Linked DNA regions of Danio rerio. The protein of the gene in region 3 interacts with the protein of the main gene of each other region in a pairwise test. Links are inferred from orthologs where the notes say so. Each region holds a gene or a part of one and is shown on either strand. Other genes may lie near its edges.

Region 1 (6,627 bases), on a different chromosome or scaffold from region 3:
GGTTCTTTTTTCCTTATTACATATTGTGTTTCTCATGTGTCACACTAATGATCAATCTACAAGTTATTTAATGCAATAGCACACCCTTGAGTTTGAAATGTCTGAGTTTTAAATTGCAAGAGTTCCTGTGGGCACAAAAGTAACACGTATTTTTGTCCTGCTGCTAATAGACATGCCTTATTTTTCACTTCCACATTAGTTTTCAGTTTTTTTATTCATATGTTTTATAAGATTATTGCATGTAGCCAATAATAATAAAAAAGAGCATTTTGCATTGTTGAATTGCTTCTGAAACATTTTCTAAAAGTGACATTTAAAATGAAAATGCCGTTTATTTTTTTTGTGTAATATGTTTGCAATTAACATTAACAACGTTATCGTCAGATTTATTTCAAATAAACAAGATTGAGCCAGTAAATCTAGCAAATATTGTTGTTTTACTTTTGACCCACCCGTGTGTTACTTTCGTCCCAGTCTATGGGCTCAAAAGTAACAATGTGTTAAACAAAGTAACTTTTGTTCAAAGCAGGGGTTTCTAAACTTTTTCTTACGAAATCCTAAAAACCAAACTTGATTGAGGCTAGTGGGCCAAAGGTGAATATAGTTGCAATGGGTAATTTCCTAGTTTATTTAATAATATTTTTAAAAAGATTAGAAAACATTGCTTTATATAAACTAATACAGTATTTTTTTTTTTCATTATTAAGGAACTTATTATGGTTTCACCCTGCCCCCCCGCCACCCACCCACCCCCCCATGCGGTACAGGTGAATTGCGTAGACTAAAGTGTCTATAGTGTATGAGTGTGAATGGGTGTGTGGATGTTTCCCAGAGATGGGTTGTGGCTGGAAGGGCATTCACTGAGTAAAAAATGAGCTTGATAAGTTGGTGGTTCATTCCGCTGTGGCGACCCCGAATTAATAAAGGGACTAAGTCGAAAAGAAAATGAATGAATGAATGAATGAACTTATTACAGTAAAAACAAAACTATCAAATTTATAACAGACTTACACTGGTTTTTGCCTTGATTTGTTCCCTGATGTCTTCTGCATAGACCTTTATTCGACTAACAGTATTTACATAAAAAAATTTTAAAAATCTGATTCATTTACAAAATTTAATTGAAACATTTAATTTCAGTTAGCTTTTTTTATCTCAGCAATAAAACAAAAAAGGTTAAGTCAAATTAGAAACTACAATCTCTGTTAAAGGCATTAGCCCCAATCCTCTCCATCATAATCACTCTCCTCCCAGACGGGATGCTGGGCCCAATCAAAGGTTACAGTGGGACAATTTAGGCCCGCGGGCCTTACTTTGGGCATCTCTATTATATATTGATACAAAATAACACCAGATTTTGAAACACTATTGTGAGTTAGTAACCACAGCAAAATAGTTTTGCTAAAAACATTATAAAATGTTATAAAATTCTTTTAAAATTTAGGTTTTTATGAAAAATGTTTCTTTTGTCCCCGCTTTCACCAACTGTATAACTGAATAAATAAATTAACTTGAAGTAGTTTCAGAGGATGGGTGAGATTATTATTATTATTATTCATTCATTAACTCATTTTTTTCGATTTATTCCCTTTATTAATCTGGGGTTGCTATAGCTGAGTAATTCACTAACGTATCCAGCATGTTTTTCCCGCAGTGGATGCCCTTCTAGCTGCAACCCATCAGCGCATGTATTTCGATTTGTGGGTGAAACCGGAGCACCCTAAGGAAACCCACACAAGCACAGGGTGAACATGCAAACTACATACAGAAATGTCAACTGACCCAGCTGATGCTTAAACCAACGACCTTCTTGCTGTGAGGTGATTGTGCTACCCACTGCACCACCATGACGCCCCTATTCTTATTATTATTTCAGTAAAATAGAAAGAAATTAGTAAATTCATCAGTAAATTAGAATTGTTCTAAGCAAACTCATGCTTTGTCATTTATGTTATGTTTGTTGTCATATAGGCTATGTTGAACTCCTGTGCTTTGTTTTTTATCGTTTAAATTCAGCTCAGTGGCAAAAATATATATATATATTAATTAATACTGCTGAGTAATTTTTTTCTATAACTACTAGTAGAATATTTTACACCTTTAAACAAAAACCTGTTTATGCAATGTTTCGTTCGGAGTCAAAACGTTCACTTCAGACAATGAATCGGATAATTCGACTCTGTAATCAAGTGAAATGCAATTCCTTTTGCGAATCGATTCTTTAAAAGAACCGCTTTTAATGAACGAGTCTTTCGCGTGTGTTCGCCACTCTCGCGATATAAACTTTTCCCGGTTACCTGAGGAGACGAGAGTTTGGTTCAAAGTGTACCCCTATTGGAATGAACAAAAACAAACAAAAATCTTCTTTATAACTGCAGGTAGAGTAATGCAAACCAGTTACCGTTTACTTTGTCGTGTTTACCGGCTGACTGTACGTTTCTTTATCTATGTTACGAAATGCTGGCGGTGTTTATGTAATAGTTTGTCCGTTAGCAGTGAGAGTATATGCTCCGTGTTAGTCTGCTAGCAACAGCAACAAACCAGTTTATTTCTCTCGTGTTTCAGCTAACTTGGGGTTCTGCCTAAACGCTTAACGTGTGTGAAATTGTGAGTTAAATAAGGTGAACTTGAATTGGGATAATTTGGTGTGTTCTCCACTTTCGCCATCCGCGGTGGGATGTTTATAAACCGTAACGTTAGTTTACAATAGCATAGTTGGTTCAGATACTAGTACTTTAAGTGACTTATAATAGAATTCAATAAAAGCACATCTTGCTTTCACGGAGTTTAAAGGTTGTTGTTTGTGACATTTGAAGCCAACGGCAAGTTAAACACTTTAAGTTACTGGTATAAAGTTGGTTTCAGATTCTCACATTCGTTCAGTCATTATTTGTGAGACGACATATCTTGTTTTCCATACTTTGAATATTCAGTCTTAAATCGCATGCAAGTATGACTTGAAAACAACATTAGCACTGTCTGACTGTGAGCAATGATGTACTTTTTTATTATTGCAATAGCAGGCAACTACAACAGGTAGAAATGCAAACAGTTAGATGTATAACAAACAATACAAACTGCAACAGGAGAAATGCGACACTTTTAAAGAAATATAATAAAGGTAAAGCAAAAGAAAGACAATGAGGAAGAAAAAGAAACAAAAACTAAATAAATAAATGAGGGCACATGAAAAAAATAATACAAATTAATGTAGTATATTAAATAAAACACATGTTTTATAAGTTTTAATTGTTTTCTTGTTATGAGACTGCGATATCAATGTTGTTCTTTAATTGTCATTGGCTGCTTATATGCAAATAATACTTTTCTGAGATTATATCATTAAGAAGAAAGTCTGAATGTGCAAATATAAAGCCAATTTTACCCTAGTTAAAACCCTTTAAGTAACGTTACTATCATTAAACATGATCGTAACGTTTTGGCAGGGAATTAATTAACATTGCATTGCTATTTTGTTAGGACACAGTGATATATGTTGCTTAGTTGTGTGAGATCATAATCAAACAGCTGTCTATATTTTTACCCATTTTACACACATGGAAAATAAATTGTATAAAGATTTTTTTATTGTTGTTGTACTGTATATTCATTTGTTAAATGTATTCAGTTTCATTCATTCATTTTCTTTTTGGCTTAGCCCCTTTATTAATCAGGGCTCACCACAGTGGAATGAACCACCAATTTATCCAGCATATGTTTTACGCAGCGGATGCCTGTCTAGCTGCAACTTATGACTGAGAATCACACACATGCACTACGGACAATTTTAGCTTACCCAATTCACCATTTAGTGTCTTTGGACTTGTGGGGAAAACCAGAGCACCCGGAGGAAACACACACCAACACAGGGAGAACATGCAAACTCCACATTGAAATGCCAACTGACCCAGCCGGGGCTCAAACCAGCGACCTTCGTGCTGTGAGGCGTTTGTGCTATTCACTGCGCCACTGTGACACCCAAATGTATTCAGTTTGTTTAAATTGTTTTCCTTAACATTTTTTGTTTACATTTTATTTTTGCCCGTCAAACACATACCATTTTCTTTAGATTTGGTTGCATTGAGTATTTGTTCAGTTTGTTACAAATATAAACTACTACACAAATTGATATGCATGAACAAAGCATTTGTCGTTTACATGTTTTTTATGCACTTTAAATAGGTTGTGAATTTTGCAACATGGTTTACTAGGGTAAAATTGGTTTTATATTCGCACATTGAAACTTCCTACTGAATGATATGATCTCAGAAACGTCTTCTTTTCTATTCTCAATAGGGAAATCATATTAGCAGCCAATGAACTATCAAAATACAGCATTGTTCACAGTCAATGTTGTTTTGAAGTCATACTTGCATGCAATGTCAGAGCAAATATTCAAAGTAACATAGTGATAATTGTATTGTCTCACAAGTTATGGCTGAATGAATATGAGGATTTTTAACCGGTACATAGTTTTATAGTGCTTTCTGCTTTCTTTTTCAGGTATTTTTCATCTTTATTTATTTATTTGACTTTTATTTATTTTTTTATTTAATTTTTTTTTTTTTTTTTTTTTTTTGGAGAAAATCTTGTCTGCATGAAGAAAACCAGAAATGGCATCACCACAAACACTTCAACCTGTCCTGAAAATGAAGGTCGACGAGCTCTTCCTCTTTTGGTTGAGTGAGCCGAGTACTCAGGCGATGCTAAAAGACTACCTCAACAAAATCAAGAGTGGAGAAGAAATAGATCTAAGCCATGGTGAATTCAAGGGCACAAGCACTTTGATGTTCACTGAAAACAACAATAACAATATAGCATCAAAGATTAATGCAACGGAGAGGATGAGTGCGGCCCTTGGTGCCCCGTGCAGTCCTCCTTCGGCCACGCTGCCATCTGCGACTGGCAGCAATAACAGGGCAGGAGTGAATGCGAGGGCCCTGCGACGCTCTGTCAGCACTAAAAAGGTAAAGCCTTTATGCTCCACATTCGCTTCACAATACAGCATGACCCTGGTTTTGTCACTTTGCAGACTGCTGTGTCAGTCTAAAGAAATGTGCGTTCTACTTTATTCATATGTGGCGATGGCTCTATCCATCAGTTATACTCCATCAGTTCTTCGTATACATAGAAACATTACTCAATTTCCTATGTTAGCATTTCATGTTGTGAAGCATACATTGTCAAGCATGTATTCATGTAGAAACTGTTTTAGTATAGCTTACATACTTGTTTGGTTTTATATCAATGGTTTGGAAGTTTTTATTTATTATTTTAATTTTAGATAATGTTAGTAATTTTGTGATACTGTCATCTTTATTAGTTTTTAGAATTTCAAAAGCAGATCTTCCTTGCTTGACAGTGTTTTTTAGATTATTAATTTTATATTAATAGTAATTATTATCATAAAAGTAACAACTATTATAGACCATGTGGTCATGTCATTGGCCCATAAACATTTCCCGCTTGTTATCAAATGATTTCATAACTGTAACTAGAGGCAATTCAATTATAACTTAATGTTAAATTATGAAAAATATTCATATCCATATGAAAAAGGGCAAATAAGTTATAATATATGTAAATGAAATTATTATTTTAACTAATATAAAATCATATTACTATTTAACAGATAAATTTAACAAACATTATACAAATTGAATAAGCAAATGTTACAATACTGTTTAGTTTTTAGTGTATTAACTACAGAAAAATTGTATTATTATTGAAGCTGTAAATAATGTTAAGTCAAGATTAATGATTCCTCTGTTTAATTGGGTTAATTAACGTTAATGACAGATGGAAGCAGGTTAGTGCAATTAAAACCTAATGCACAGATCTGACATATTGTAACTGTATTTAGTAGTTATGCCTTTTAGATTTTCAGTGTTAATATTGGAGATAAATGTATATTAATATACATGCATAATGTAGTTAAATGTACTTTAAAAGTGCTTTTCTTTACAGTCAATTAATAATATATGATATGTTTAAAATATCTATTATTTAGCATCAATGCAGATTCAGCAGCATTATGTATCATTAAGAAAATGCCTATTTTCTACACCTCTAGTCTGTATAGTTTTTAGAATTTAGTTGGATTTTAGTACATGAAGTTAATGTTAATAAAAAGATGCTAGCTGAACTTAAAGTATATGTATTTTAATGTTGTTTTTATTTTAATGTGAAGTTCATTTGCAAAAACGGCAAAGTATTTCTATTCAAATTTATTAAAGTTTACATAAACAGTGTAAACTTAAATAAACAAGCGTGAACCCTTCATTTCTCCGTTTTAAAAATTTTATTCATTTTCATAATTTTTGGAGTTATGTTTTGCAGATGAACTCTTAACTTTCTTAGCAAGAAAGCGACGAATGTTTATAATTAACTGTAAAAATATTAGCTCATTCTGGTGAAATAGTTGGAACTTTTGTCATCTGTGATGTTCCCACACTCTATTTTATTAACAGCCACTTTACCACAGAGTAGGGCTGAACAATACATCTTTTGAGAATTGATATCGCAATGCATGTATCTGCAATAGTCACATCGCAGGATAAGATGTGTATTAAAGATTAAAAGTTAAAGATATTTTCAAATATTATTTTAATAGTAAATGATTAACAC
Region 2 (5,928 bases), on a different chromosome or scaffold from region 3:
ATGTTGTGTTCATGAGCTACACTCCATTGCTCTTTTGTTAACTTCCTCCCATCCTCCTGGGGCAGAGAATGAGAGTGGATCTGTAAAAAAAGAGAAGGAAAAGAAGAACCGAAAGAAGGACAAAGAAAATGGCTCAAATGGTGGAGAGGCTGGGAACCATAATGACATTGATGCTCCTGATGCTGTTGTGAGTTTTTTTGGTTTAATTTCTTGTAAAAAAAATAAATAAAAAATCTTCCAGCCTAATTAGTGTGGAAACTGATGTTACATGTGATTACCATGGCAGGATAGGGATGATGACGATGAAGACTGGGCTGAGGAAACCACCGAAGAGGCTCAGCGCCGCAGGATGGAGGAGATCAGCGAGCACGCCAAGGGTCTCACACTTACTGAAGACCTGGAGAAATCCCTGGAGGAAAGGGTCAACATATTTTACAACTTTGTCAAGGTAATGCTGGCGTTTAGGGGGCAATTGTGTTTCTGTGTTTGTTTGTTTTTCACTCTGCTATAATCGTTTTGCTTCTGCTCTTCAGGAAAAGAAGGACAGTGGCACGATTGACTCTGCAGATAAAGACATTTTGGCTGAGGCTGAAAGGCTTGATGTGAAGGCCATGGGTCCTTTGATACTGAGTGAGCTGCTCTTTGATGAGAACATCCGCGACCAGATTAAGAAGTACAAGCGTCATTTCCTCAGGGTACGACCTTGCGTCTGTTAGCATTTGTTTTGTTTTTAAATTGTAGATCACTGTTTTTTTTATTTTTTTATTTTTTTTTTTTTTTAGCCGTCTGCCATTTTGAAATCTCTTCATGCTTCACAATATTTGAAAGGCTAAAACTGTCAGTTTAATTTTATTTATAAAATCTGAATAATTTTCTAATTTAATAAGTTTCTCAGTTTTTAATCAATGAAATTATAAGACTTTATAGTTTTCTGTTGATTTCTAACATTGCCATGAAATGGAAGGTGTTAGCTCACCCTGAAGTTAAAGTAATTGTCCTTTTAGAGAATTATGTTCTTTTAATGAAGGTTTGGTCTCGCTTTATATTAGGTGGCCTTCACTATGTACCTGCTTTAAAAAAATAAATACAATGTACTTTATGTAATAATGAATTGCAGAACACTTATAGTGCTCTTGAATTGGTGGTGTGGGTTAAGGTGTAAGTGATGGTCAAACGTGTAATTGCAGAAATTAACTGGATGTAATAACATACAAGTATTTTAATCATAAGTACGATGTAAAACATGTTTGTTTGTTTTTTACAATAAGTACATTGTAACATGAATTTTAGTGTAAGTACATTATACAGTAGTAGTTAAGGCCACATAATATAAAGAGGGACTGAAAGTTTATTCACCCAAAACTAAGACATGAAAACATTTGTGAAGAGATGAGGAGGAAAAAAGATCCGTATGAGTTGAGTGGTTTAAGCCTTCAAAAATGATGCGATCACTTTACATCAAGAGTTCTCAAACTTTTCACTTCTTTCTCCGATCAATTTTTGAAGGCCCACCTGTCTGACATTTTCTCTAAAATGTTTGTATGAAATGCTCATTTAAACGTAAATATTTATCATTTTATATATTAAAAAAACATTGATTCAAAGAGAACCAGTTTAATGGGGAGACTGCAAAATACCAGCTTCTGCTTTAAACTGGACTGACTGAATATCTACTATTACATTTCTACTATTAAAAACTGCTCTAAATACACTAACTCACTAAAACACCCTAAATCTGTTGGAATGTGTTGATCTGATGTTGAGTTTGCAGCTGGATATTATTGGGAGATCGCTGACAGGAACCAGAGTGTGGCCAGAGTGCGCCCAAAGCTCACATGCAGGCTTATTTTACATTCTATGGCAGAAACCCCATTGAGCCTCGCTAAATCCTCCTGTATGGGTGGGAGTCCATTATAAAACACTCACACGACATTCATTTGGATAACTATGTTGATATATCAAATAGTTCACACAAAAATTCACAAAGAGAGATTTTCACTTCTCGCATAGTTTGTGACTGAACAGACTTATAGCCCCGGTCAGATCACTTGATTTTTATTGTCGGTTACGAAAGTCGCTACTGTATATCAGATTATGATAATTTTTCTCGATAAAATATTGAACTTGTTGTATTAAGTGTGCCAGACTACACGTTCCTTTACGATCTATCATCCTGTGACATCTATGATGAGCAATATTCCCAAAGCAGTCTTATTTCATTTTGTGTACCAGTTGCAGACATGATCGTGAGGCTGTTTTTTTGCGCTGAGTTTGAAGTAATTAATCAGAGAATGGGGAAAGTGTGTTGATTTTTTTTTTTTTGATCATTTTAATATAGAATATTAATAATGAAATCCAAAAATTACAGCATAATATTGAGAGATAAATTTAATCTTGCGGCCCACCTGTAGGATCGCTGAGGCCCACTATTGGGCTGTGGCCCACCAGTTGAGAATCCCTGCTTTGCATGAACTGAGGCATACGCTATAAGGGCAAAACCCTCCTTTGAAAAGTGGGTGGGGAACAACATCTCATTTACCTTGCGTCACACAAAAACTGCTTTTTTCCCCCACCCAAAAGTCTTTAGAACATGGAAATGATGATCTTTACATTCTGTGGACACCTGAGAGTTATAATGAATGTAGCATTGAAGAAAAGCCATGACCACTTAAAAATTTCCCCCTTGTTGTTTTTTTACAAACACTACTGTTGATGCACTATAGTAAACTTAGAAACTTTCCCTTTCTGCTTCCAGTTCTGCCACAACAATAAGAAAGCTCAGAAGTATCTGCTTGGAGGCTTTGAGTGTCTGGTGAAGCTGCACCAGACCCAGCTCTTACCCAGAGTCCCCATCATACTCAAAGATCTGTATGATGGAGACCTGGTGGAGGAAGATGTCATACTCGCATGGGCTGAAAAGGTAAAATCCTGACACACAATCTAGACCTGACCTTCTTCTAGTATCTGTCATAAAACAATCATACAGGCTGGAGTTGAGGGGGGCACCGAATAAATGAGTTCACATGCATGAAAACAAATCTGATCTGAGACTGATCCCTGTGGAAAGTGCGTAGCTGTAGATATAGGCATGATGAGCCTTGTTGCTAGGCAACTCTTGAAGGCTCTTTTGTCATTTTAGCCTGAGCATCTTGAGGGGGTTGTAATGTGATGTCTGTGACCTGCAGGCTGCTGGAGAGCTCAGGCTCTGATAACAGCAGGCATACTTGACTGAACTAGCCCTCCAACACTTGTTGAGCTTGACCACATTCAGGCTGTCAAATGCATATGGTCAGCTTGCTGTTGTAGTGTTACATGCTCATGTGGCTGAATGTATTTAAATGGCCTCTATAGACCTGATACTCTCTGCCTATAGACTCATTTTTGGGTTTCCCGGTAGCAGACGGCGTCATAGCTGGAAAAACTTATGGTGCGGTGAATTGGAGAGTACAACTAATACATTTTTACAACCCTATTTGCTGAAATAATAAAAAAAAAATTCCACGAGGGTTACACAGACTTAAAGAAAAAGGGGGAAAATATCAAATTTACTCAGCCCCATTGACACTACATTAGAAATGCATCGCATAAGTGGTAATTTGTTTTTGTAATTTGATGCAAATATGATGTAATACATGAATATAAATGTACAAACTTAAAAAAAAAAAATAAAGTATTAAACTTTCAAAGATTTATGATTGACCATTAAACGCGTCATAACAGTCTTGTAAAAAGGGTCCATTGATCTTTTATTTATTTTTATTATTTAACTGGTCAAACCATAAATGTTTTCTTGTCCTGATTTTTAACACCATCACAGCATTTAGTGAAGAAATCAGCGTAAATGAAAGCTTATCTTTGTATTGTTTTTCATTGTCTCTTTAAAATGTTCATAAACTCCAAAAAACGGTACTTAAAGAGATTAATAAATATTTTGGAGCTTCATATATAGCAAGATAATAATAACAACATAATCTCTGAATATCACTAAAGTAAGACCAGGAAAGTTCAATTTTTGCTTCCTGCAAAGGTTTGCTTATAATAGAAAGCTACAGCTTTTTTTATTATGTCTTATATATTTATATATATATATGTTAATAACTTATTTATTTTCAAAGTATAATACTGTAACTTGCATTATGTAAGAGTTTAAAATACCATTTTCGGAGGACAAAATAAGTATAAATATTGAAAAAAAAACTGCAGGGTAAAGAACATTGTGAGAGTGGTCTTGCATGGTTAGACAATATACACACGCATACATCAGCACTGATTAATCTTGGAGTCCAAAAGTTCTTTCCAGTTGTCCATAAAATAGCCCCTTTCTGTTTTTTTTTTTTTTTTTTCCATCTTCCATATTTCTACAACAATTGTTACATTTTTAATAATAATAAAATAGTCTTGATAAAGTGCACTAAAGAGAAACAAAAAAATGTAAAGACAAATGCTTACTTTAATCTAAAATATCATCTAAACAGTTACACATTTAAGCTTTTCTTTCACAAAGCTAAGTTGGTTTTTGACCGTTTTTTTTTTTTTTTTTTTAATTTTTTTTTTTTTTTAAATGTAGCAGTTTTTGATCTTTTATATATTTTTTTAAAACTTCTTTCTTTGTTGTTATTAGTTTTGAATGATCAAGAAAAAGCTGGAAGATGCACCACTCCAAAAAACTAACTCTTGATTAATCTGTGCACCAAAGAGACTGATCTTAATGCTCTCTGTGTTTGGCAATGTGAGATCACATCTTGATGCCAGCTGTAAACAGAGCCTAAGCCTGTTTCTGTTTTAGGTGTCCAAGAAGTATGTCTCCAAAGAGCTGGCTAAAGAGATTCATGCCAAGGCTGAGCCCTTCATCAAATGGCTGAAAGAGGCAGAGGAGGAGAGTGAGGGCAGTGAGGAAGAGGAAGATCAGGACGAGGACAACGTTGAGGTAAAAGCCGCAGTATACATTCATTTAATGCGTCTTAAAATTTTCAGCTTTTTGATTTCAAAAGTAGCTCACACTATTATTAATATTTTTTTAATGCTTTTGTTAATCAATAATTAAAGGTGAAAGAACCTAAAACCTTCTTTTGACATTTCTCTGAGGTGGACTGTTGTCGTCACACTGATCAAGTCAAGTTCAATGCTATTGATTACTATTGGTTTTTGGTTTGCTGCTTATTGTAAGAAGTCACAAAGCATGAAAATTTCATTAGACCATTAATCACATGGACATTAATCAGCTGCCAGTGAACACATCAGACAAGACCACAAATTTTAGACCAAGATTATAGGAATCTGTTAGAATTTCCAAAATTTGAAACTGACCAAATTGTGGCCATAATCAGAATAAGGTAAATGACCAGTTTACTGTGATGGCCATGTTAATTAACACACACTGAATTGACTCTTGTGTGTTTTCCTGTAGGTGGTTTACTCCTCATCTGCCCGCGAGCTGAAAATGGAGACCACAAAACCCGCTAAAGCAGAGCACGAGGAGGAGGACATTGACATTGATGCCATTTAAAGATGAAACCAAAAAGCTTCCGTTGCCTCTTGACAATGCTGAGCTTGTGTTTTCCAGACGCATGCCTTTTCACCTCCGTGGGCCTTGTTTCAGCTGTAGGCCTGGGTTCCGCTCTGCTCAAAGCCTCTTCTTTTAGTCTTCTCACCACCAGCTCCGTTGATCAATCGTTGCTGTTGTTTGTATGCATGAGTTTCTTAGATTGTAGATCATAAAGTGCACATGAGTTTCCCCCCTGTATTTTTGCAACTATTAAAGATTTGCCTGTGAATTCCATCTGGTGTCTGTCTTGTGGTTTCACACAATGCTAATGAGGATGAGATGAAGAGTTGTCCTCTTTTTGTGTTCAGTAGCAAAAGTGATTTTATTAACTACAAAGAAAACTAGAATGCAAGGTAAGTATTTCCTTTAATTTTTTACAGATG
Region 3 (6,501 bases):
TGACAACTTCCATACTTATACACACATGATACTCTTCATACATATGCACACTTGACACTCTATACATACACGTCATACATACACACGAAACACTCTCATATAAACACAAGGTAAACTTTATACACTTAGTTTAGATATTCACAGTTGACACTCTATACATATTCACACAATACACTCTATACATATACACACATGATTCACTACAACCATATGCACACATGATACATGATACATATGCAATCTATACATATACACATTTGAAACACTCCATACAAATACAATTAATACACTCCATACATATACACATTATCATACATGATAAGCATACAAAGATACAGCTTATACATAAACACACAAGGTGCACTCTATACATATACACACTTGACATTTCATACATATTGACAGTTGACATTCTATACAAATACATACATTACACTTTACACATATTCACACACATATGATACAATCCTGTCAGGGTCTGGGATTGAACCCTGGTCTCTGGTGTGAGAGGTGATTGACATTACCACTGTGCTACTGACAACACCTCTCTTGAGTATGCGCGCTCAACCCCCCCCTCGGCGCTTTACAATACGCGCGCCACAACACAGCTGATCAGAACGCGCGCGACAGCACCGCTATTCAGCACGCGCGCGGCGACAACACCCGCTTTAGGTTCGATCATTTCCATCTTTTTTTCATCTCCGCTACTAGCAGCACACTCCATTTCCGCATTACTGGATCTGTAGCGACAACAGACCGCAAAGGATTATGGCCACGCCGGGGCTGATGGGAAATGAAGTTTCAGCTACCTCCCGTTCGCTTCATTCGCCTGAGCAAATTTTCTCAGAAGACCTATAGTTTTACCGAGTCATGCGACTTCGGTAATATCGAAAAAATTTAATATTGTGGTATGACGGTATTTACAATACCGTTACATCCCTAATATATTTATATATATATATATATATATATATATATATATACATACACACACACACACACACACACACACACACACACACACACACACACACAAACACAAACATATTCACACTTGTCACTCTATACATATACACACATGATACACTTTATACACATACACACATGAAACACTCTATACATATGCACACACAAAACACTCCATGCTCATATACACATGAAACACTCTATACATATACACACATGACACCTTCCATACTTTTACACATATATGCACACTTGACAATCTATACATAAAATGCACTCCATACATGATACACTCTAAACTTATGCACACATAATACATTTTATAAACACATGGTACACCATCAACACTCTATACATATACACACAATTCACTTTATACATATTCACACTCTATACATACTGTATACACACACAATACACTTCATAAATATATATATAAACGCATAATACACTCCTGTCGGGGTATGGGATAGAACCCGGATTTCTGGCGTGAGAAATGATTGACATTACCACTGAGCTAGAGAGAACATAATACATTCTATACATATTCACACTTGACTCTGTATACATATACATACATGATACAGCTTATACACTAAGCTATTGGAAGTTGAACGATACAGTATCTGCTTATAAACTCTATACATACACACACCTTGCACATATACACATGAAACACCAAAACCATATGTACACATGAAACACTCCATACAAATACACATGACAACTTCCATACATTAACACACATGATACAAAATAAGATACAGGACACCTTCCAAACCTATACACACATGCAACACTCTATACAAATGCACACATGATGCACTCCATACATATGCACACAATACACTCTATACATGTACACTCCATATATACTCTCTATACATATTCACACTTGTCACTCTATAAATATACACAAATGATACACTCTATACATAATCATACTTGACACTCTATACATATACACACATGGTACACTCCAAATATATAGACACATGAAACACTCTATACATATGCACACACAAAACACTCCATACATATACACACAAAAACACTCTATACATATACACACATGACACCTTTCATACTTTTACACACTAGTTTATTTATATATATAGTTTGCATGTTCTACCCTGTGTTCGCATTGGTTTCCTCTGGGTGCTCAGGTTTCCCCCACTAGTCCACTGCGTAAGACATATGCTGGATAAGTTGGCGGTTCATTCCGCTGTGGTGACCCCAGATTAATAAAGAGACTAAGCCAAAATAAAATGAATGAATGAATGAACATTTACATAATGTCTTTGATAGAAAACACAATTTAATGTAATATAGAGTAGGCTACTTTGCAAAAATCTTATGCAACCATTGGTGTTTTTGATATGTAAGACCATTTAATTTGTTTACTCCAGTCCACTCTGTTATATCGGTGCTATAGAATATTTATTTAGAGAGCATTTACAATATACTCTTTTAGATTTACGTTTACCCCAATCAATGTCCTGTATTTATTTCCGAAGATCGCCCTCTAGAGGCACTTTAAAGCAATAATGCAACAACATCCTTTGCGGAACTAACAAGTACACATTGTTTCCTACGGACTTTTTATTTTCGTGGACACCTTTTTTGACAGCAGAGTAAGCACGTGAGTGTAAAAGCGTCAATGTTTACAGTAAAGTCATCATTAGAAAAGCTGCAGGCAGATTGGTGTTGAAGTTATGCATTTACATTTGTTGTTAAACTTTTATGAAAACTTAATGGTCTTGGAAATGCAATATCTGTTATCTCTTACTAAGAAGTTCTCATGAGTGTATTATATATACTTTGTTATGTCTAACTGGTCAGTGTAATGAACTGCACCATGTGTGTTTCGTTTCAGTTGCTTCAGTGAATGGATTGTATTTGTTTCATTGCGTTGATATTGAATACGTTTTGTGTTTGCTTAGTTAACCATGATACCCGTGGCGTCTGGACTCTACATCGGGTCAGTGTCTGATCTGAAGGATGCTGAGAGTCTGTCAGCTGCAGGTATAACACACATTCTGACTGTAGACTCAGAGGAAGCTTCTGTCACTGGATTCAACACCAAATTCATCCGAGCTCTGGATGATGAGTCCACAGACCTGCTGAGCAGACTAGATGACTGTACCAGCTTTATTTCTGAAGCCCTTAGCACACAAGCTGACTCCAAATCAGCAGCAGTTCTTGTGCATTGGTAGGTTTCATAGTTTGTTTGCTAAGTTTGTTGAATAAAAAACGTAACGGCATACACATACTTAAAAGGTAATTCAATAATACGTGATCCTAGACATTGAGGTAAAGTTTATGTTCACACATTCAGACTTTCTCTTTCATTTAAGTATTCTTTGCAAATATTAAATAGGGAAATCATATTATCAGACATCAAATATCAAAGTACAACAATGTTTACAGTCAAGTAAAAAGTGCTAATTTTGCTTTCGAATCATACTTGCATATGATTTCAGACCGAATATTCAAAGTAGCGTGGTAAACAATATAGGGACCATGTCACAAGTTATCACTGTCCAAATATGAACAAATGTGGGAATAAAAACTAATTTTACCTAGACCTCAAATTACTTCATAAGTGTCAATTGTTTTACAAGTGGGATTTATACATTTATACACTGAATAAATAAGTTTCAAGTGATTTAAGGTTTGTTAAATGAGATGATATTTGGTGAAGATACAACTATTTAAAAATCTGGAATTTCAAGTTTAAAAAATTAAAAAATTGAAAAAATTGGGCTTAAAGTTCAAATTAACTTCTTAGCTTACTTATAAAAAACTCAGTTTTGATGTATTTACAATAGGAAATTTACAGGATATATTCAAGGAACATGATCTTTACTTAATATTCCAATGATTTATGGCTTATAAGAAAAATCTTTTATTTTGGCTATTGCTAAAATATTCTTGTGAAACTGGTTTTTGGTTGTTGCTAGAAGGATTACACCTCCGGCTAACAGGAATTATTTTTGTTATTTATTAAATTACTCATAAAGTTTTTTTTTATTATTTTTATTTTTTTTATTAACGTCTACCCCAAGTTTAAACCTACTCCTCACAGAAACATACAAGATGGAGTATACAGGGTGATAAATCGGACATTCTACTAGAAGCATAGATTTTAACTTATAAAAAATGTGACAGGGCCTTACCTTTAAGCTTGTCTTCCTCAAAAAATGTGAGTGTACAAGCATTAAATCATTTCTATCAATGATAGAAAGCATCCTTGATCACCGTCAGCTTCTCCTCCACCAAATGATGTCACTTGCTTTGAGTCATAGCCTTAAATGTGTATTGAATTTTATGTTAAATGAACTGCAAATGTGACAGGACTGACTGAAGCATGGGGAAAATTTTAAATCTATTTGTAGTATTTATTTGTAGAATTTATTTATCATTTCATGTTGTTACTCAAGAGATTTGTTTTTCTAAATAACACAACTATTAAAGCTGTAGGTTTGATTGGGCTGAGGACAAAGACAATGACAGGGTTTGTACATTTGTACATTGTACATTCGTAAAGTTTTTTAATAAAGAAAAAAAAATCTGAGAACAAATCAATGACATATTCCTTTACAGAACAACTCACAGAAGTCAACCATCAGTCCATTTTAGAAATTTTTGGGACAAAATACTTTTTTTTCACTGTATTTATGTTTTTATTTATTTATTTCAGGGACAGATAATGTAAGTTTCTGGTAGAAGGTCCCATATACAGTTGTGGAAAAAATGAGAATCTACTTGAAACTTGAAGTTCTCTAATTTGTTTTACTTTTATAAGTTTAAAATAAAAGTGTCATTTTGAGCAATTTTGTGATACATTTGATTAGGCATAAACAGAAGTACTGTTTTTTAGAGAACCAACCAAAATTAAACAACATTATGCTTTTAACTAGAGCAACCGTAAGGGAGATATGAAAGCTAGTTTTCTGTTTTTATTGTATCAATACTCTTGTATCGCTATTTTATTGCAGCAATTTTTCTGATACCTTTTGGTAGATATTTATTCTTGTTTAATCATTAACTTACATCAATTATAATTAAATCATATTTTTTTGTATTCTGTGAACTGTTGTGTAAAAAAAACAACAACCAAACAAACTATTAATAATAATTAAAATAATTATTCAACAATTATACCATTTTTTTTCAAAAGTTCCAATTTCAGAGGAGTTCATGAATCAATATTTAGTGAAATATCTCTAAGTTTGAATCACTATAAGTGGAAACATTTGTCGTTCTGACCAGTTTTCATTTTCGGAATACATACAGTAAAATTAAATAAGTACAGTATGCTCTAAATGGTTGTATTTTTTTATTGGAAATTTACAAAAATGTTGTCAAATCTTTATAAAATATATTAAAACATATAAAGACTTAAAGACTAAATTCCTTTTTCTCTCTCTTTTTTGTAGCCATGTGGGGCAAAGCAGAAGTGCTGCAGTGGTGACTGCTTACCTGATGAAAACACAGCACCTGACCTTACAGGAAGCATATTCTAAACTGCAAAACATAAAACCAGATGTCAAGTGAGTGTACTTCATTGTTGTGTCTGTAACTAAACATTTATGAAAAGAGGTGTTACTTAGGATCATTCCTAACTTTTTCCCAGAATGAATGAAGAGTTTCTGGATCAGCTGGCACTTTATGAATTGATGGACTGTAAAGTGGACACCACAAGTCCTGTTTACAAACAGTTTAGGCTGAAAAAGATTACAGAGAAATATCCAGGTATGTTCATTCTTATTGAAACTTCTTTGATAAACAGTATGTGACTTCATTATACTTTCTTATGCTGTAAAGTGTTTTAATGATATGTCATCAGTGAACCATTTTGGAGAACAAAATGTAAACAATGGCACTGAACTGAATGAAGCTAGCATGTTGAATGCTGAAAATAGATCAATTATTGTCATGTTTTGGCAATTATGAATCAGTACTAAAGTCTGGCAATAGTTATTACAAATAAAGTATATTATAGCCTATTAAAATCACGGAGCCAAAATATTACACCTTCTAAGTCCTTGATTTAGCAGTTTCCACAATGGTTAAGACAGCATTAATAAGCAGAATACCATAATTAGTTGTAGATTACCATGCAATCCATGCTGTTGTTTACATCTGAGTATTTCCAAAGTGGCTGCGCATTTATAGTAAGTAACTGACAAAATTGTGACATGATTATTACACAAATGAAATGTATTTTGATTACATCAGAGCTCCAGAATGTGCCAAAAGATGTATTTGCTGTTGACCCTGCACAAACCCAGAATGCAGAAGCTGTATACAGATGTAGAAAGTGCAGGTAAAAGATTTTTATTTTAAGATCATTTTTTTATTGTATGAATTCAAGTCTTCGTACTTGAGGCCAAAGAAATTGGATATTAGAAATTAGTTATTAAAACTATTATGTTTAAAAATGTTGTTATGTTTAAAAAAAGTCTCCTATTTAAAGCAAGACTTGAGAAATATATAAAAAATAATGTATATTTCGAAAAGGGCTGATCA
Region 4 (6,688 bases), on a different chromosome or scaffold from region 3:
CTCATCTCCACCTGCAGCAAATACCAATGCAGACAAAATGTCAAACTGTAAAATTCCTTGGGCAACCTAAAGCCTGCTTTTCCAGCAGTGCTGACACCAGAAATCAGCTGCTGCATGACAAACAGATCATGCAAATGACCTCTGATGGATTCAGAAGAGTGGGAATCTTACAGTCCATACATGGGAAATGAGATTTTAGACCAGCTGATAATGATAAAACACTGACCGAGGTTTTGAGAAGCTGCTATTTGTTGTGGCACCATCTTTAGTAGGCTACAGACAATGCACTCATGATCCATCAGTTTTTTCAACTTCCCAGCTGCCTATAAGGCAGAGCTTGGATCTCATCAATAATGCAACGAAACATCATGTTTATGCAGTTCACACAATGACAGAACACTAGTACCAGACTGTAGCCACACACTGAAAACAAGCCTCAAAAGCATTGGACAAAATGACAGTTATTTAGCTTAAGACATATACATCGTACCTAACCAGCAGCAGCAGATTAGAGAGTGTAGAAATAGGCAGTAAATACTCACCTTTTGATTCTGTTTTCTGCAGGCTCTTATCGCTTCATGGTAGCACAGCACACAGGAAAAATAACTGTAGTGCCATGGTGATATGCAAATTAATGGATCACGCTGAATACAAGGGCATTTATTATTCATAAATTACTCATGTTTATGCAAATTAGGTTACACAGCCCTACTCAAATAGGAGCTTGGTAATTTATGCTGCCTTGCTTCATATGCCTTGGCTTCTTGTTTAAAAAAGCTAATATTTGTTATAAAATATTGCGTGCGTGTGCAAGTGTGTAGTAAAAAACAGTCATAAACGTCTTATTTTTTTAAGAACAGCTTTTATTTTTTTTGTGTAAAAATAAAATCATTGAAGGAGATTCAAATGTTAACAAATTGAGGACCTTAATATTCTACTGTGAAGCTGGATGCAAAATAGAATAAATGATTGGACTGTTTGCAACATAAGAGGGACGTGTTTAAATATAACAAACACTTGGCGCCCCCGTGTGGTCTCCTCAGAGAAAGAGGTTATGATGATGCTAAAACAAAGACTACATATGAAAGTACATTGTACACTTCAGTACATATGGCTTTAGGCTTGCAAGCTGTTGTTTTTTCCTAGGGTCACAGATCTCCTCAAAACATTGTCAACCTCTTTTTCAAAGCGATGAAGCAGTTTAAAGTCACAGAATCCCCTGTAGAGTAAACCGGTTGCCAGTGTTTTCATGGCCTCCTTCATCTGCCACAGTGAGGGTACAGTGACGCTGTGTGCATTTCCATTGAGCTCAGCTGTGACGACTGTGGGTTCGAGTTTGGGAATGTCCAGATCTGATAAAACATCACTTTCACTGTACGATTGGTCGGTTGTACTTGACTCATCAGTTTGCATGCGATAGGATGCACTTTCTTCCTTAGTTTGGTCATTTGGTGGATTTTCTGGACATGGGTTGGGGTTGGTCACACGTTGTACGACTCTTCCCCTAGCTTTAAAGCACTTCAGCCAGTCCTCATTTGACTGGAAGTTAATGAAACCCATCATCCGAGCCAACCGAGATGCTTCAGAACAAATCACTGAGTCATTTACTGTAACGTTGTTCTCACGGCAATGGTCGATCCATCTCCAAAGCGCATCTTCAAGCTGTTGCATGTTTGCATTTGTGAAATTCGTCCTTGGCTCCAGTTTTCCCATACTCTTTTTATCCTGATTATTTTTGCCAATCTTGAACATTGATCGAATGTGTCCCTCTCTGTTTAGAAATCGAGTAAACCACTCTGCATTTGCCCTGAAGTTACCATAACCCACAATCTTGGCCAACTGAGCAGCTTTTGAACGAATAGTCGATTCATTCAAGTCAACGCCGCTCTGCTGAGTATGATCTATCCACCGCCAGAGTGCCGCTTCGAGTCGATGAGTCTTTCTGGCTCCAAGGTTTTTTTGAGACTCTGTCACTTTATCTGCAGATTTTGGATCTCCAGCGGCATTCCCCTCTTTCTGATCTACCTGGAACATCTCTCGTATCACTGGCTCCCGTGATTTAAAGCGTTTCAACCAGGCGGAGTTCGCCCGAAAATTAGAGAGACCCATTTCTTCAGCCACTCGAATCGCTTTTCCACGAATCATTGGCTCGTTTACTGTAATACCGTCGGCAAACGAAGCATCTATCCACCTCCACAGTGCTGCTTCCAATTGATGTGTCTTGCAGGATAGATAGACAGCTCCAGAAAGGTCCGACTTGGCGTTTTTCATGTTTCTTTTCCGGAGCCAGATGCTAAGCAGAGGAGCTGAGACGTTTAGCAAACGCGCAGCAGCGTTTAGGGGCATTTGAGGAAGTCGATCATATTTCTCGAGTATATGTTTTCTTTCCTGCAATGATCTACGGATATATTTCCTCGTGGCCATGTTTATGTGCGGTGAGAAGAAGTGATGGGGATTCGATTTCGAAGTCCAAAGTGGATCTCTTTATTGAACCGGTTCTTACAGAATGATTCGATTCGAGCAGTAACATCTCAAAAATAATAAACAAATATATAAATAACGCGACTGTGCTGTAGTTTCATCAACAACAATTTGTTAAAAACAAAAATATGTGTTTATAAATGTCTTTCATGCTTGGTTTTAGCACATGTGATAAGTTTATTGCTTAGTGTTCATTTAAAACGGTTCATTAAAACAAACTGTCCGAAAGAACCGATTAGAAAAAGTGAATCAGACTCGTTAGAGATGAACACAATCGACATCATCCAAAGGCGCAAGTGGCGTGTATCGCATGCGACGCTTTCTTGCGTGTTTAGATAACGTACGTTTATAATCGTGAAACTTTTGAGTGCGATACGCAGCTTTTCGTCTTGTATAATAGTTGATGTTTGTACGACTAGACTTGATTTAAGAAACATCATCGTGTGCATTAGGGGTGAGGTTATTGTTTTAACGTTAGTCAAACTTTGAAACAGAGTAACTTACGCTTTTAATAAGATGCGAATGCATTTGCCTCGGTAATACTGTTCATTAATTGAAATGCTAATAATTAACGTAGCTTGATTAGCGTTACAACTAATAATTGGGCTACGCAGCTGCATTATGTTAAACGCACATCTGACGTTAATCATATTTTCCTTGTTCTGTCAGCGGACGTGGGTTAAACATGTATCACAACAGCTCACAGAAGAAATTCTGGACATATGATAAAGAGGAAACTTTGGATAAATTAAGACTTGAAGCTAATCAGAAGTTCTGCTCAAAAGCTCTGTCCAGTGGAAAGGTAATTCACACGAATGCAGATCTATATTTCTCTAGTTATAACCATGTGTTATTATAAAAAAAGTATTATATTATTTGTATTTCATATTATTTGTGTAATCACAGATTTACTACAAATACCCTGAGTAATCTTTGATTATGCATAATGATTGTATTATTTTCTTGTTGTGATAATTGCTAAGGCTTTTATCTCATTGTACCATATTATGACAATAATACAAGTTGCAAAAAAAGTTTACTTAACAAAAAGGACCCTACACTGTTGAGTTTTGCTTTTTTTGTACATACATTTTTTTGATTAAACATATATTTCAACCTAAGTAAATTGCAAAATGTTGAAAAAAGTAAAATAGTTTACATTACAAGTAAATGTCAGTAAAAGTAGCATCAACAGTGAAAATAGCTACATTTGTAATAGGTGATGTTAGTTTAATTAATAAAAATATAGGACTGAACTTTATGACTTATAAGCTCTTTTAAAGGGATCGGTCACCCAAAAAGTTCAATTTCTTTTTTCTGTAGAACATAAAAACAAAATATTCTAAAGAATGTTGGAAATTGGCATGAGACGATAACCAGTTTCGAGGTTTACAATGGTTTAGAAAAGTCAAGGTTTTAAAACTGCTAGAATTTTCTGTTATACTGTCCTATATATGCTATATGTAAGGGTTGTTTTATAAATGTGTTTAAAGAAATTTGTGTTTTTGAAACTAAGACAGCAGAAGTCAATGAATTATTTTATTTATTTAGCCTGAAATGTTTACTGCTCTATAATATTTTAAATGTTTCCTAAAATAAAATATAGTGTTCTGTTCGATGGTGACCCAGACATTTGAAAAGAATTTACTTTTAAGCAGTAATCACAAAACCATGATACAGTGAAATTTTGATATTTTTATTCAAGGTCATCATACCATCAGAAACTTACACCAGCCCATGCCTAGTTGCAAATGAGCTGTCATCGGCAACCACTGTAGAAACCAAAAACTACAGAAGTCATTGGCTGCTGCCACTTTCCAGCATACTTTGTTTCAGTTTCTTTCATCTATTAAACACAAAAATTTCAGAGTTTGAACAAATAGGCGAGTAAACAATGGCAGATTTTTTTTTATAGTAGTAGTAAACTATCTTTTTTAAGTCTATAAAATAATAAAACATTTTAAAACTTTTGAATTTAATGCTTTATTAAAATTATCTAAGATTAAATAACCAAATCAACACGTTATCTTTTTTAGCCTGGAATAAATGAATCCACACTTCTCAATGAGCAGGAAGAGAAAGTGCTTTTCAAACACTATGAGAAGAGATTGCTAGACTTTTGTGCTGTGTTTAAGCCTGTGATGCCTAAATCTGTTGTGGTAAGTAATATCAGTGTTGCCAGTTAAGCATATTTAATATATCATATATAATAAATATGATTTATATATTTAATAAATAAACAATGATTTATTTATTATGCTCTTCTGGCCTTTTGTGTCTTATTTTATTTGTTTATTTGTTCAGGGCACAGCTTGCATGTATTTTCGAAGATTCTATTTGAACAACTCATTAATGGAGTATCATCCTCGGACAATAATGTAAGCATAGTGATTGATTGGAATAAGTTAGAAGATTATAAAGTATTTCAGATTCTGACTTCCATGTCTGTTTTTGCAGGTTGACATGTGCATATCTGTCCTGTAAAGTGGATGAGTTTAATGTGTCCAGCACTCAGTTTGTGGGGAATCTTCAGGAGAGCCCAGCGGGACAGGAGAGAGCTGTAGATCAGATTCTGGAGTATGAACTGCTCCTTATCCAGCAGCTGAATTTTCATCTGGTCGTTCACAATCCGTATCGACCTTTGGAGGGTTTTCTGATTGATCTGAAGGTGAGCCTAATGCCTAGTTGCAAACAGTCCTATCTCTAATGCACAGCATTGGCTGAGATAATGTTATTATGGCGAATATACTGTAGCTGGTGTGCATTACATTTGCCACATTACCAATAGTCGGTTAACTGAGTGCATGGCGTCTGCATTTTTCAGACCAGGTACCCATTGTTAGAGAACCCAGAGATGCTTAGAAAAAGTGCTGAAGACTTTCTCAACCGAGCAACAATGACAGATGCCGGACTGCTCTTCTCTCCATCTCAGATTGCTCTCACTGCTGTCCTCAATAGCGCTGCACGTGCTGGCCTCAAGATGGATGTGTACGTTTTTATTTATTTATTTTTTTCGTATTTGCAGATTATAAAAATATTGTGAATATTGCTGCAAAAGAGACGCTCCACCTTGTATTCTCTGATGGTAAACTTGACACTTATGTTTTTCACATTAGATAAGTGAAAAAAAAATTCTAATCTAGATGCAGTTGAAGGTTTCCCCCCCCAAACTATTTCCAAAGTGATTTTCACCAGAGCAAAGCCATTTTCACAGTATTTTTATTATATACCATTTTTAGAGAGTTTTATTTATTTTAGTTAAAGTAGAATAAAAGTAGTTTTAATTTTTAAGGTCAACATTATTAGACCCCTTAGTTTTGATTGGCTAAAGAACAAACCTGTGTTGTACGATGACTTTCATCAAGGTGTCTGCAGCGTCTTATAAAGTATTAAAAATTGATAAACCATTTAAGAGAAATTTAAGGTCCTAAAAAAGTATTAAAACATTTTAAAAGCTATTTTACATTGTCTTAAAATTTAGATTATACAATGTAGTTGTATGATAATTTTGCCTTTAATCTGCCAACTCTGGGGTGCTGTGTGGTTTATGAAATCGATAAAATCCTGCTAGATTTAACATCACATTGATTTGTTTACTGTAGTAACTAAGGCAACGCCGTTATTCCTGCTGTTCTATTGTAAAGTTGCTTTAAGGCAAGTCACTTTAAAAAGCCTCTCGGGCAGTATGCTCAGGCATTTTTTTTGAAAATTCTCCAAAATTGCTTGTCATGCTTACGATTAAATTTCGTATTAAGAATCACCAATAAAATTGAACAATTAAACAACAACAACTACAGAAAATCTACAGAAACTCTCTTCTGGTCCAAGCCATCATGCAATCATCAGTCTTCATCATCAGATTGATCAGTCTAATAGCGATCTGATTGACTCCTGTACTAGAAAGTGGGGCTTTATTCATTATATTGACGTTACACTTTTTTCCCCATTCAAAACTGTACGATTGTGTTTTTTAATAGTTTTTGTCTATAGGGGCCACCCGCTGGATTAGCATTTATATTCATTATACTGTATAAATAATCTTTCTTAAAATCAGAATTGAGTAAATATACTTTAAGTTAAAATGTTGCCAATGTTCCTGGTTGAAACCTAAAGTGGTGATAAGGACTTAAGATATATGGAAAGTGTCTTAAAAAAGGTTCTAAAAGGAATTAAATTTCACTCTCTGATTCCTGTTTATACACTGTTC
Region 5 (6,704 bases), on a different chromosome or scaffold from region 3:
AAGACCAAACCAGCAGGGAATAAGGCAATGTTTTGAATATTCACAGCTTTCTCTTGATATCAACAATTTAGTTTTTCTAGTTAAAATGATTATTATTGATAGGGATTTAGATTTCTACTATATTAGCTATTCTGCCCTTACTCTGGTGTCTCTCTTCCTAAAGTTAAACAGACAGATAAACTCTAAAGCAGATAATGCTGCTTTATTCCATGCCACAATTAATATGTTGAAACAGAGTGAAACTACGTGCATACAGTGCTCTATAGATATCTATGTACATAACATTAATATCTAAGTTGAAATATATATACAAACAGATAATAAACTTAATGCTTCCACAGGTGATCACAGGATGAGTGATCCAATTAATCTCAATTCAGTTCATCTTTATTTCTATAGCGTTTTTACAATGTAGATTTGAGTCAAAGCAGCTCAACATAGAAGATTATAGTAAATTGAAACTGTGTCGGTCCATTGATGTGCAGCTAAAGTACCGAACCATGCAAACCAAGGGCGACAGTGGCAAGGAACAAACTTTACCAATTGCCGAAAGTGAAAGAAAAAACCCTTAAGAGAAACCAGGCTCTGTTGGACACGACCTTTTCTCCTCTGGCCAAACTTCTTGCGCAGAACTGCAATCTAAGCGTCTGACGCTGGAGAGCGCTGGACGTCCATCGTGGAGAAGCTGCAGGTGGGAGAGGTCACCAGCTGGTGTGCAGACTGACTCTTCAGGATCATTGAGGAAGACTCATCTGTCACTGGGGTCTTACAGGAATCAGTCTCATGCTATCCACTCCTCCATGACCTCCACAGCAGCTGCTCAGGATACGGCCTGGTCCAGGATTATGGAAATCTCTGGAATAATAGAAACAGACTAACATAATTGATGTTCAAATTGTAATTTATTTTGGGAAGTGTTCCCAGCTTCAGCTGCCCTAAGTAATGCAGACTAACAATCCTTTGGAGGATTTGGATTTCAAAAGCATTTGTGTTTTATGTGTTTGCTAATGCATAGAGATGTGTATTTATTCTAGTTTTAAACTGACAGAGGCATAACAGTAATGATGTTACTCCTCTGAGAAATAAAGTTAATTACCAGTTCTTCACTAGTTTTGACCATAGGCTGCCATTTTTAAATCAATACTTAATTTCTCACTATTTAAATTCCATTTTAAATATCAGTAACAGTTGCTGGTAAAACCTTTTTTTTTCCAATAAATACATGGTCACTAATGATAATCTTTATTCCAGTATAGGCCCACTGAATATCAAGAATTCAGATATCACTGAAATGGTATTTGCTGATATGTGTGAATGTATCTCAGCTTGATGCATTTAGGAATTTCTAATATTGATAACAATAATTAATTTCCTATATCTAAAATAACTTTTTTTTTTGCTATTAGCAATCACACTGTGCCTACACTACCTGACAAAAGTATTGTCGTCGATCCCTGCTGTAAGAGCAACAAATAGTAACTTGACTTCTAGTTGATCATTTGGAAAAGTGGCAGAAGGTAAATTTTTTGATTAATCATGTTGAACTGCATCACACATACTGCTGACCTATTGGAACCCTCATGGACCCAAGATTCTCACAGAAATCAGTCAAGTTTGGTGAAGGAAAAAATATGATTTGTGTTTACATTTATTCAACATCAACAGCCTGAGATATCAAGACATTTGCTGCCCTTTTCATTACATATCACAGGAGAGGGCAAATTCTTCAGCCGGATCACGCTCCTTCTCATACTTCAGCCTCCACATCAAAGTTCCTGCAAGCAAAGGTCAAAGTGCTCCAGTATTGGCCAGCCCAATCACCAGACATAAAAGTTATTGAGCATGTCTGGGGTAAGATGGAGGCGAAGGCATTGAAGATGAATTCAAAGAATCTTGATGAACTCTGGGAGTCCTGCAGGAACACTGTTTTTGCCATTCCAGATGACTTTATTAATAAGTGATTTGAGTCATTGCAGAGATGTGTGGATGCAGCCCTCCAAGCTCATGGGAGTCATACACAATATTAATTATTTTTCCATTGCACCATGACTTTATATTCTATACTGTACATTATTTCTGTTAAGTCTTTTGTTTTAGCAAAGTCAGGCCTTACTATCCTCATTAAATAATAAAAAATCAAGGCATAATCATATTTTATTTTGGTAAAAGAAGCGTACACTAGAGGCCTTTGCCTTTCAGCCACTGATACCAAATCATCAACTAAGTCAAGTTATTTGTTGTTCCTAAAACTTGGATAGGCCACAAGGTTTTTGGCAGTGTGTACTGGAAAAGAACAGAAATCCAATTCCTGAAATTAATAGCATTTAGCTAGAAAAAAAGTATTTATTGACATCACATATTTATAATGCTGCAAATGAATGTCAACTATACAATGTTCATTACTAGGTATGTCTGTTCTTGAATATTAAAATATATTATATATTATCAAGGGCTGATTTAGTGATTTTGGGGCCATAAACAATTCCAGCCAAGGGGCCCAAAAGTTCTAGAATGCATCTTTTGTACTTGAATTTTTAAAAATTATTTTCATATTTTTTTAGTTTTGCTGTTTTTTTCTTATATCATTAAACCTCATTTTCTATATTTTATCTTAATGCAAAATAATAGTTATAACATGTAAAGGACATTGTATCCATTTAAAAAAAATTTAGGTGCATGCCCTGTATGCTGATCCGTGTCACTAGGAGGCAGTCGCAAGTTTGACTCGTGTTAACTTATGTCAACAGAAGAAGATCGTCACCGCTGTTTGCGAACCACATCATATCCGCTGCACATCAACACAGTCAACACATCTACACAAAGTGCTGTGAGTATGATTGTTACTTTAAGGTTTACTCCCCTTTTAAAGCACAATTCTAGAAATATTTCGTCTCACTGTCTGTCGATTTCTCTATGTTACTAACGTTACCGATTGATCTCAAAGTTAAGGGGTATCGATATATATTTTGAGAAAGAGCGCTTGCTGCTGTCTGTAACGGATTTGATAAACAAACTTTATGGATTATGTTTTGTGACATACCAAAAAAAGAAAACGTTGTTTATTGTCTGACTGTAATAATTTATTTTTTGAGGCACATCTGACGTAATGTAGCAGCTTAACAAACTTGCTCTACCGGATTGTTTCTCTTCTTGAACGCAGAGTTTCAGTTGCAGCCCATGAGTGACATCATTTTTCCAGTAACGTCATTGAACACGTTCATAACTTACCATAACATAGAAAGCGAGCTTCATAGATTAAGTGAAGACATACAGAGGAAGTTTAGAAAGTTGCTTTCTGTGAAGGAGATCAAATTCATTGTTTTCCTATCAAGTGTAAAAGTCTTAGTATCCCTTGACTAAAGTTATGTGCATGTTCTTGTACTTATAACGTTAGAGGTAAAGTTGGTTTTATATTCGCACATTTAGAAGTCCCTATATTGTTTACCATGTTACTTTGAATATTCGATCGGAATTAGCCTGCAAGTATGACTTCTAAATAACATTAATTCTATCTAATTGATTGTGAACAATGTTGTACTTTGATAATCATTTGGTGCTTATATGATTTTCCTATTCGGAATTTGCAAAGAATACTTTTCTGAAATTATATTGTTAAGGAGAATGTCTGAATATCCGAATATAACTTTTCCTTTATCTTATACTTCACTTTGAAGAACCTTTCATCTATAGTTTGCTATTCATTAATCCAGCCTTTTGAAAGGGTTTTTTCTTAATAGGTAGATCTTTTTGCTGTTGTTCGCCTCATTTTCTGTTTAGTTATGAGATTTCAATGCTGAATTTAGATGAAATTTTAAGCACTTTTTACCTGACTTTATTGAATCAATTATCTTGTTGGATGGTCATCATAACCACACTTTTTGATGTACCAAAACATTTCCTAAATATTTATAATAAAGAAATAAATATGGCAAATATGTGTTTTTAAAACAGAAATATATTGCATCATTTATCATGCATCAACGTTTTAAATTAGAAACTGTAGCCTAGTGTAATTTATTAAGCAAATAACTGACTGGCCAGCACATTCAACTTTCCTCAGTCAGAATGTGGCCATTTAAATAATAATAAAAAACTAAAACATAATAATAATAATAATAACAACAACAACAGTTAAGAGCTTCACAGTTTTTCTAGCCTCTTGTATAAGTACTTTACACTTTATTGGTTATTTTTTGTTTCAAGAAAAGTGATTGATAATAAAAGTTACTTGTCAAATCTTTTCCCAATTTGAAAACAATAAAGTAGTGAAAGATGACTTTGCTTATGTCAGGTGTTTTCTTGCACAGCTGGATGTTGGACTCTTGAAAAATAATTGTTTGTATTGGCCAAAACTGATTAACTGAAGTCACACCAGGATTACGCTTGGTCTTAATGCCTTTTTCGATGGGTTATTTTCACTATTTATGATGGCATAGCAGTCAAAAAAGAACAAATGAGCTCATGTATTGGACAAATTCTGGACCTTTGTCAGTGTGGGTGGGTGGGTCTTCCGAAAACCCCTGGCTACGGGCCTGGTGAGTGTTTTTTTTAAGTGGATAAAAGGATTAGTTCACACAAAAATAAAACTTCTGTTATTAATTACTCACCTTCACGTCCTTTTAATTCCTGCATGAAATCTAAGTTTCCTCATCATCCTTTTATGGTCCAGACACATTTATAGTCCAGAAAAGGAACTAAACACATTGTCAAAACATTCCATGTGACTTCAGTGGGTCAACTATAATCATATGAAGCTCCAAGAACACTTTTGTGTGTCAAAAACGTATCAGATCAGGACATGCGTTTATTATGAACTCTGATTACCTGAAGCGGAAGAGAGGACAAATAGTGGTACTTAATCACATAATTTAAATTTTTGGGTGAACTAACCTTTTGAAGTTTTATATGAAAGGCCATGGTCCTTTGTTATTCATACAATGCAAGTCAACAGTTACCTGCACTTATAGAGTCAAACATAAATATACAGGCAAAACATATTTAACTTCTGTGACACCTGAAAACACATTGAGGTCTAATAAAGGGAAACTATAGGTCTGTGCAAAAAGCTGAGCAATATTAACAGTAACTTATTATTGCATCTTACCCAATGATCCCACTTTCTTCTTTTGACAACCACAATGTCCTTTACATCTCAATCAACCCACATAGTATAAATGTACCAGTGGCTCTCAACTCTGTTGGAAATTAAATCAACATATGAATATATTTAAATCAAAATAGTAATACATTCTTGTTGATTAAGATATGTGTTTTATTATTAGACACGTCGAGATGGATGCAAAAGTAAGTGACCCCTTTAGCAGCGAGGCAGAGCAGCTTCCAGGAGCAGGAATTGTGGGAAGGTGAGTCTGTCACCAGAAATACTACAATCTGTAAAAGCCCAAAACTCCAGAAATTGTTTATTGTTTAACTCTTATTGAGAGTCACATTAGATAAAAGACACTGCTAAATGATTAATTTCTTTAAAAAAATTATTTTAATTGTAACTTTCTTTGTTGTTGTTTATATATATATATATATATATATATATATATATATATATATATATATATATATATATTTATATGTATGTAAGTATATATAATATGCCCATATGCGATGTTGTTACCTTTAATTGAGTTATGACGCTATTAAGTTATGACGCTATTATTTTTATTACTCAATATTATTGTCGTCTCTCTTGAATGTCAGGCTTTGGCTGCCCAAAGGTCTGTCTGGAAATGTGATTAAGGATTGGGTGGACCGCAGGCGGAAGTCCATCCGTCCATGGGCCGGCTTTGTTGACCAGCGCAAGTTTTCCAAGCCCCGTAATTTTGGAGAGCTGTGCCAGCGTGTTGTGAGGAACCTGGACACCTATCACAGCAACTACACCTTCATCTTCATGGCTCTCATCCTCTATTGCATGTAAGGAACTGCTCAGTAAAAATCACCCTGAAATTTAAATGTATGCAAATAAAATGCATTAAACTAGTTCATATAGACAAAATAGGCTATAATAAAGACACCTCAAAAGGTAAAGTCTAGATTGCATATGCGGCCGGCTGGAAGTGCGATATGCACATCAATATAGCACCATTTTTTATGATGCTGTATAACAATAATTAAGGGGACACGAAACACCAAAACGCATTTTTTGAGCTGTTGACAGTCGTATACGTGTCCCACACTGCTAAAAACACTATTAGGACACATATATTTCACTAAAAAGTGAAAATTGGTTGTTTTTGCATTATTTCGAGCAAATTCGTACTTCCGGTTTGAAACAAATTTTTGAAGCTGCGTCACGGCCATGAGATCTTAGCGTGTATTCCTGCTTATAGACTGGACGTCTGTACCTGGGAGTTTCTTATTACGTCTCTGAGTGTGTTGCATTCAGTCATGAGTAAGACTTGGTTCAAACCAATCAGCGCGTTCTATTGTGTATGCGGTGCAACTTCTTTAAAATGCATGATAGCTTCCAAGTCTGTTTTTACCAGTTACAGTGTTTAGACGGCAGAGAGACGACACGTTGTGTTGCCAAGCGGGAGAACATGAATTGTTTGGAGATACAGGTCAACACTGTTGCTTTTAGAATTTGCTGCAGAGAAGGTTTCGTTTTCATTTTCCCTTTATGAGAGCGCAGCTGTACTGTGGATCACGTGTGCACGTGTTTAAGGAACATTGTTTACCCGAGAGCATTTCTC

Evidence for each region.
Region 1: the proteins of dusp12 (region 3) and ppp2r3b interact in binary tests that used the Homo sapiens proteins (3 or more experiments, as listed by UniProt). The two-hybrid records come from large-scale screens. The link is inferred for Danio rerio from reciprocal best matches to the Homo sapiens genes DUSP12 and PPP2R3B.
Region 2: the proteins of dusp12 (region 3) and eif5 interact in binary tests that used the Homo sapiens proteins (3 or more experiments, as listed by UniProt). The two-hybrid records come from large-scale screens. The link is inferred for Danio rerio from reciprocal best matches to the Homo sapiens genes DUSP12 and EIF5.
Region 4: the proteins of dusp12 (region 3) and ccnh interact in binary tests that used the Homo sapiens proteins (3 or more experiments, as listed by UniProt). The two-hybrid records come from large-scale screens. The link is inferred for Danio rerio from reciprocal best matches to the Homo sapiens genes DUSP12 and CCNH.
Region 5: the proteins of dusp12 (region 3) and rabac1 interact in binary tests that used the Homo sapiens proteins (3 or more experiments, as listed by UniProt). The two-hybrid records come from large-scale screens. The link is inferred for Danio rerio from reciprocal best matches to the Homo sapiens genes DUSP12 and RABAC1.

What each region holds. Positions count from the first base shown.
Region 1 is NC_133184.1:36,197,465-36,204,091, reverse strand, and holds the start of ppp2r3b (serine/threonine-protein phosphatase 2A regulatory subunit B'' subunit beta), read left to right. Parts: upstream 1-2,307; 5' UTR 2,308-2,378; intron 2,379-4,503; 5' UTR 4,504-4,613; coding exon 4,614-4,967; intron 4,968-6,627. UniProt on the Homo sapiens protein: The B regulatory subunit might modulate substrate selectivity and catalytic activity, and might also direct the localization of the catalytic enzyme to a particular subcellular compartment.
Region 2 is NC_133195.1:21,171,363-21,177,290, forward strand, and holds the end of eif5 (eukaryotic translation initiation factor 5), read left to right. Parts: intron 1-65; coding exon 66-187; intron 188-286; coding exon 287-448; intron 449-533; coding exon 534-695; intron 696-2,755; coding exon 2,756-2,920; intron 2,921-4,786; coding exon 4,787-4,927; intron 4,928-5,407; coding exon 5,408-5,506; 3' UTR 5,507-5,779; downstream 5,780-5,928.
Region 3 is NC_133177.1:23,703,923-23,710,423, reverse strand, and holds the start of dusp12 (dual specificity protein phosphatase 12), read left to right. Parts: upstream 1-2,552; 5' UTR 2,553-2,670; exon of another isoform or gene 2,671-2,678; intron 2,679-2,909; 5' UTR 2,910-2,915; coding exon 2,916-3,178; intron 3,179-5,408; coding exon 5,409-5,522; intron 5,523-5,605; coding exon 5,606-5,724; intron 5,725-6,210; coding exon 6,211-6,298; intron 6,299-6,501. UniProt on the Homo sapiens protein: Dual specificity phosphatase; can dephosphorylate both phosphotyrosine and phosphoserine or phosphothreonine residues. Can dephosphorylate glucokinase (in vitro).
Region 4 is NC_133180.1:52,027,406-52,034,093, reverse strand, and holds the start of ccnh (cyclin-H), read left to right. Parts: upstream 1-2,775; 5' UTR 2,776-2,997; coding exon 2,998-3,017; intron 3,018-3,150; coding exon 3,151-3,283; intron 3,284-4,517; coding exon 4,518-4,640; intron 4,641-4,785; coding exon 4,786-4,859; intron 4,860-4,938; coding exon 4,939-5,149; intron 5,150-5,305; coding exon 5,306-5,469; intron 5,470-6,688. Other genes in the region: uncharacterized protein LOC100150296, read right to left, coding at 1,117-2,424. UniProt on the Homo sapiens protein: Regulates CDK7, the catalytic subunit of the CDK-activating kinase (CAK) enzymatic complex. CAK activates the cyclin-associated kinases CDK1, CDK2, CDK4 and CDK6 by threonine phosphorylation.
Region 5 is NC_133191.1:11,085,590-11,092,293, reverse strand, and holds the start of rabac1 (prenylated Rab acceptor protein 1), read left to right. Parts: upstream 1-2,799; 5' UTR 2,800-2,827; intron 2,828-5,282; 5' UTR 5,283-5,292; coding exon 5,293-5,363; intron 5,364-5,712; coding exon 5,713-5,925; intron 5,926-6,704. UniProt on the Homo sapiens protein: General Rab protein regulator required for vesicle formation from the Golgi complex. May control vesicle docking and fusion by mediating the action of Rab GTPases to the SNARE complexes.